2 linked regions of the Tribolium castaneum genome follow. The protein of the gene in region 1 purifies or fractionates together with the protein of each later gene. This does not show direct contact. Links are inferred from orthologs where the notes say so. Each region holds a gene or a part of one and is shown on either strand. Other genes may lie near its edges.

What was found.
Region 2: the proteins of calnexin (region 1) and leucine-rich repeat-containing protein 59 purify together in Homo sapiens (affinity purification with mass spectrometry; 3 studies listed by BioGRID and IntAct, with this or other methods). This does not show direct contact. The link is inferred for Tribolium castaneum from reciprocal best matches to the Homo sapiens genes CANX and LRRC59.

What each region holds. Positions count from the first base shown.
Region 1 is NC_087402.1:5,189,940-5,193,645, reverse strand, and holds the start of calnexin, read left to right. Parts: upstream 1-764; 5' UTR 765-960; exon of another isoform or gene 961-965; intron 966-968; exon of another isoform or gene 969-1,063; intron 1,064-1,249; 5' UTR 1,250-1,268; coding exon 1,269-2,495; intron 2,496-3,178; coding exon 3,179-3,319; intron 3,320-3,548; coding exon 3,549-3,689; intron 3,690-3,706. Other genes in the region: nSMase (putative neutral sphingomyelinase), read left to right, coding at 1-580. UniProt on the Homo sapiens protein: Calcium-binding protein that interacts with newly synthesized monoglucosylated glycoproteins in the endoplasmic reticulum. It may act in assisting protein assembly and/or in the retention within the ER of unassembled protein subunits.
Region 2 is NC_087394.1:31,265,419-31,268,736, forward strand, and holds leucine-rich repeat-containing protein 59, read left to right. Parts: upstream 1-1,459; 5' UTR 1,460-1,514; coding exon 1,515-1,610; intron 1,611-1,663; coding exon 1,664-1,723; intron 1,724-1,781; coding exon 1,782-2,627; 3' UTR 2,628-2,667; downstream 2,668-3,318. Other genes in the region: DDB1- and CUL4-associated factor 11, read right to left, coding at 566-656, 863-987.

The DNA.
Region 1 (3,706 bases):
GGTGCAGAATTGTGTGGCGACAAATGAAAGCCTCACTAATAGTTACACACCCGTGGCCTTACTCAAGAAAAACATTCCTGGCAAAAGAATCGACTATATCATGTATCATCCAGGCTCAAGTTTACAAATCGATTTAAAAAGCTACACATTGCCGTTACCACACAAAATCCCCGGATGTGCGTACAGTTACTCGGACCATGAAGCAATCGCTGCGACTTTAATCGTCACAAAGAGCGAGATAAGGTCGCTGAAAAGCGACCAACACATGAAGAAAACTGTCCTTGAAGAGAGCATAGAAATCTGTGATGACGCACTCAGGGGCTTGAATAACCATAAATATTTGTACTGGTTTTTTACGTTCGTTTTAATCGTGTTGCTGGTTACGACACTTGCAACTGACCTACCTTTCGGCTACAATCTGAATTTTATTTACCACATTTTGAAAATTTTAATCACCCTTTTTATGTTTTACACTTTGATGATGGCAACTATCTGGAATAAAATCGAACGTCATGCTGTGATTGCGGGCAAGTTGGGAATGGAGACAGCTTTGAGGAAATTAAAAGCCAAAGATTTGTAATTATATCAGGGCCAAAACAAGCTCAGTATTTTAAATCAAAGACCAACACCTGTTGCTCATTTTTTATTTGGTTTGTACGACTGTGATCGTTTCTGTACCACTGGTGAATAAAGTTTTCATTTTTTAACTGTTTGTACTTTTTTTCCCCGCCTATTTTTGAACTGAGCGCAACTTTGCCATCTGTTTGACGCTGATTGGTCGGCGAATTTGTGTTTATTCTCTTCATAAATGCGGTGTATTACGTGGTGTTCAAGAACTACAATAAAAATAATCTGATAATAAATGAAATACAGCCTAAGTAAACACCAATTTGAGTTAAGACTGTGGTGCTGAAGCTAGTGTTGTAAGAGTGCTGTGTAAAACTACTTCCGGATTTTGAGGTTAGGTATGTCATTTTATTTTGTCGGTCTCTAGAATTTTAATTATTTCATCGTGAAGTCGGCTTTTTTGTGCATTTTGTAGTAATAGCGTGTCGATAGTTGGGTAAGAGAGTGCGTTTTTGTCGATATTTGGCGTAATTTCGTAACTAATCGATTGGGAAGTGCGTTCACTAACCTTTCAGGTTAATTTTTTAAATTGGATTAGTCCCTGACTTATATTAGTAAATACTGCTTCCGTTTCGTCATCCTGTAATCACGACACATAATTAGTGCCCGGTTTGGTTTGCAGGACAATATATGATCACAAAATGCTTAGAAGTCTCGTTCCGGCAGTAATCACGTTATTGTTGATATTTTCGGCGGTAAAATGTGACGAAGTGGACGATTCTGACGAGGCTACTGTGGAAGTAGAACCGGAAGAATCACACATTGATATCCCCTACGAAAGTCCGAGCCCCCTTGACCCGAAAAAGGTCTATTTCGCCGAGCATTTCGACGATCCAGACCAGTTTGCGAAACGTTGGATAAAATCCCAAGCGAAGAAAGAAGGGATTTCCGAAGACATCGCAAAATACGACGGTGAATGGCAACTTGAACCAACCCAAAAAGACAGTCTAGTGGGCGACAAAGGTTTAGTGCTTAAATCAAAGGCTAAACACGCTGCTATTGCCTCCTCTCTCCTAAAACCGTTTATTTTTGATACTAAACCATTAATCGTGCAATATGAAGTAATATTCCAAGACGGCCAAGAATGTGGCGGAGCCTACTTGAAGCTGCTCACCCAGGACTCCGCCAGTAAAAACTTGAACAACTTCCACGATAAAACCCCCTACTCGATCATGTTCGGCCCCGACAAGTGCGGTAACGACCACAAGCTCCACTTTATCTTCAAGCACCGCAACCCTCTCAACGGGAGCGTCGAGGAAAAGCATTGCAAAAAACCCAAAGACCGCATTGAGGAAGTCTTCTCCGACAAACTCCCCCACTTGTTCACCCTTGTCCTGCACCCTGACAACACCTTCGAGATCCTAATCGACAACAAAGTGGTCAATTCGGGAAGTTTGCTTGAGGATTTCACCCCGGCAGTGAATCCTCCGAAAGAAATTGACGATCCTAATGACAAGAAACCTGAGGATTGGGATGAAAGGGAGAAAATCCCTGACCCAGATGCCGTGAAACCTGACGATTGGGATGAGGATGCGCCGGCTCAGATTGTTGATGAATCAGCGGTGAAACCGGAAGGTTGGCTGGATAATGAACCGTCGCATGTTTTCGATCCTGATGCAAAGAAACCAGAAGATTGGGATTCGGAAATGGACGGGGAGTGGGAACCACCGCTTATTGATAATCCCGCTTGTAAGGATGCTGTCGGGTGTGGGCCTTGGGAGCCCCCACTTATCAATAATCCCGATTATAAGGGGAAGTGGAGGGCGCCGCTTATCGATAATCCTAATTATAAGGGGAAGTGGAGGCCCAGGAGGATCCCCAATCCCGAGTTCTTCGAAGATAAGCATCCCTTTAAAATGCAGACTGTTGTAAGTAAATGGTTAAAAAATTATCTTGTTTATGTAACTGTAATTATTGGTGCCGATATGTTTACATTATTTTTTCTTCTTGTTCAAATTTATCAGTTGATTTTGTACACTATTAGAACATAGTTTACAAATCTGCAGTCAAAATTTGGCTGTCAGCTCTAGTTTCCTCTCCAGTTTCCAGAATTTGTGAAAAGTATATTTCGATATGCTTTGTACAAAAATAACAAATTCTGAGCTTCTAATTTTGTTAGCAATTTTTTTAGAGTGCCTAGGACAGTGAGAAAATGGTAAAAGAATTGCCTCTTGATAAAATTGAGCCAACTTGAAATTGACACATTTATTTTTGCGATTTTTTTTTATTATCTTTGGTTTTTGGCAGAATTGTAGTTGTTTAATTTCCATATTTTTACCGAAACTGCGTATTTGATTATTGCATTGTTGCCTTCAACAAAACATGTTGCAAAAAAGAATTGTTTGTGTCACTACAAAAGGATTTAGTTGCTATGTGAGATATGCTAACTAAGGAAGTAATATATACTTAGCCACACCCAATCGTTTTTATGCTTATTTTGGCGAATTTGCGTTCGTATTGTGATAAAAATGTTTTGTAAACCTAAATAAAGAATTGTATTTTTGCAATTCATTCAAGATTAATTTATCTTTGGACAAATAACTTTTTTCAGACCGCTGTTGGATTTGAGTTATGGTCAATGTCAAAGGACATTTTCTTCGACAATATTATTATTACCGACGATATTACCGTTGCGAACCATTGGGCAGACGCCACTTTTGAAAAAAAGAAGCAAAAGATCGCCAAGGATTCGGTTAGTATCTGTTTAATTTAAATGAATTTTATTATATTTGTGATTTTTTACTAAATAAGAGGACACTGTGGGGTCGTCTTATGAAAAAGTTAAACTATAAACCTGTACCGTGGTTCTTATATTTCGTTTATTGCGCCATACCGGTTTGTTGTTACATATGGTACCTCTACTTCTGCATTCAAGAGGTATTTTCGTACTGCTAGTTATAGTTTTCTTTGTTTTGACATAGGAAAGCGTAATTCAAAAATTAGCTACCTTGACCAATGATTACCCTTGGCTTTGGGGAGTATACATTATCGTACTAGGCATCCCTGTTGTTTTTGTATTATACCTTTGCTGCAAGCCTGGATCCTCTGCTAGTCAAATTCAGGTATTTTGGCTATTGCA
Region 2 (3,318 bases), on another chromosome or scaffold:
ACCATTGTTAACCTATTTATTGCACGCAAGTTTAATTTTTGGCTAATATACAAATGTCAGATCGCAAATAACAGTATTTTCAAAGCTACTTTTCCAGAAATCCAGAAATGAATTTTTGAATTTTTATTTTTTTACCTTTTAATAAAAATAAAGGTGGATATTCGTGCCATTAAAAAAAATTAAGTTAGCCTTCTATTTTCAAAATAAATGACGATAGAGATTTAAAAAACCTCTCAAATGATAGAATTTAAACATTTTTAACTGTTTCCCTAATTTCAAGGTTTTCTGTTAAACCGTTCTGAAAATATTTAACTGTATCCATACTTTTTAGCGACCCTGTATAAATGTATTAATAGAGATTTTTGGGAAATAATCTCTTTAAAGAATTAGCTGAAAGCCTCAACTAAAGGAAATGAAAATTTTGAAGCTAACTATTTTTTATTTAAAGGGAAATTAAAACAAAAAAATGTAAAATGTAGTAATGTAGTATACATAAAAAGTTTAGGGGATTTACCGGAGACTAGGTAGTACTCAGTCTGAAAATAAAAATTATAAAATTACTTACATCAAGAATGGAAGTGTTTGGCTTAAATTTAATTTTTGGCACTTTGGGACCATCTGTGAGATAATCTGCGTCCATAATCTCCACTTGACCACTGAAAAAGTTGCACATTTATTACCCCTTTGACCAAAATAATAGGAAAAACGTAACAAACAATGAAAAAAAACCGGGTTTGTTTATGTAATTTGTACACGTTAAATCAATATCGTTCATTGTCGCGGAAAATAAATAATTCAGCCTGAATTTTACACTATATTTAGCAGCAAGTACAATGACATTTTCATGGAAGAATTCTCTCACCTATTTATCAAACTTTGCAGCAAGGCTGCATACTGATGTTCAGTCTCGTAATCAGAATCGTCTTCGGACCCAGATCTCGAGTTCAGATCATTTTCTTCCATTCTCCTCGAAGTGTAAGATCCCATGGAATGTAGGGGTTGAAATTTTCACTCAGGACCGTAACAACACCTCATATATGCACCATAATACGGTCATGTAACGTGGTTACTTAACCGCTTACACAAACACTAAACAAAAATCGGTGGAAAGCACTAATGAAACGCAAAATTTTCCGAAATATTTTGCCAATTAAAAATGACAATATTTTGACAAAATGCGCATCACGTTGACGCAACCACTCAGGATTGCCAAAACATCGCTAATAAATTAAAACTAATCGACTTTCATTTTCACTCTTGAATTATTGCACATATAATACGTTTTGACCCAAAATGAGTGTTACATAATAATTTGGGCTAAAGGAAACTGGTTTCGCCACTTTCTCCCTGCCTTTGGTGACTTAGCGAGCGATTTTGGCACCACTGCGCGATTGTCACGTTGACAGTTGCGTTTTCGTGGAAGTGGAGCAGTGACGTGGATTTTCAATTCTTGGTTAGTTTTCTATTTTTCTATTAATTGATAACATAAACTCGTAAGATTATTACGATTTGCAATGGCACCGTCAAAAATCAATGTAAAAGAGCGCGTTTCTGATGGAGAAATTGACCTTAGCATGTCAGATTTACAAGATGTTCCTGTTAAAGAAATCGTAACGATGTTTCCACCTTAATTATGACATAAAAACGCCCCTTTGCTTTGCAGGCAGTGTTCAAGAAGGCCACCAGCTTGGACCTATCAAACAACCACTTGAAAACTTTGCCAGTAAGCGCCAAATCGTTGCTTCGAAAAGGCACAATTTCGCCATATTTTTGCGTTCCAGGGCAACTTCGCGACACTAACCCACCTAACGAAGCTCGATCTGAGCAAGAACCAGCTGAGCGAGCTACCGGAGGATTTCGGGGATTTGGTCAAGCTTAAGTATCTTGATTTGTACCAAAACCAACTGCAATACCTGCCTCTGAGCTTCCACAAGTTCAAGGCTCTGAAGTGGTTGGATTTGAAAGATAACCCCTTGGTGCCAGCGGTCGCCAAAGTCGCAGGGCCTTGTCTGGACGCCAAACAGTGTCAGAGTTGTGCAAAGGATGTTGTGAGTTTCTTCACTCAAGTGCAGGAGCAGATCGCTAATGATTTAGAAAGTCGGCAAAAGCAACGACAGAAGCAGCTTGAAGTGAATCAGAAACAAATGGATAACAACAAGAAGAGTAAAAAGAAGGAGAAGACCAAACAGAAAAAGGAAAACGGGCCTGTTAAAGAAAACCCGCCAAAGTTAGCGAACAAAAAGAATAAAAAAGCGCCACCTTCGCCGAAGAATACTGGAAAAGCGTCCTCTTTCATTAAATTGATTTTTACGTTATTATTTCTTACTTTGTCGGTTCTGTTTGTGTTAACTTCTGTAAAATATGAACGTACGCGTACTATTGAAAATTCTTGTGTAGACTTGTATTACAAGGCTGTTGATTCTTTGTCTCCTAATTTGAAGGTTTATGCAACCACTGTGGGGAGTTATGTGAGGTTTGCTCATGACAAAACTGGGAATGTTACACTTAATGTTGTGAATTATGTTAAAAATTCCGACAATTTTGTAAATGCATATGATACCTGTAGTAAGTATGTAGATACAATGGTCCAGAAAGTTAAAGAACAGTACAAGAAGATTGTTTCTTGAAAGTTCAGACATTCTTTTTGAATAAAAACTAAAAACCAAACGTTGTTTTATTAATTCAGTAACAAAATAAGTTAAAATTCCATTACCATAACCACAGCCCTAAGAGTTTTTCCAATAATTTTTAAATTTGTAACAAATCTATTCGACGACAAAAATTAATTCAAGTTAAATTACATAACAAAATAAATAACACTTTGCCCGGTTAGTTTGTATAATAAGTAAAAATGCATCTTTTATTTCGTATTTCCATATGGAACAGACCCTTGAGTGGTGAAATAATTTACAGAAGAATCTTCCGTAACTGACAAACTTCTAAATACTAGTGTGATACGAAGAACAAACTGCAAGTTGGGAATAGACGTATCAGGGGAATTTTTCAGGATGTTCGTTGACATTTCAAAGAATTTATAAAAAAAAATGTCCTTTAAACAGTCGTTGACTAGTAATGGCATTAACCCACACGTTTGTTTTTCATTTTTCTGCAATGTTAGAAAATTAAAAAGCACAAACATATCGGTCGCTAAAAGTGCAGAGCGCACAGTTAACTATTTCATTGGGTAACATTTAAATTGGTCTATTAAAAAATCGCTAGTGAGCAGAGGGCTATAAATAGAGCAATAATCAATCCAAATAAGTAGTAAATTTACGTACATTCCACCATCCCAGCAGTGTAAGTTTTTGTTTTATCTTA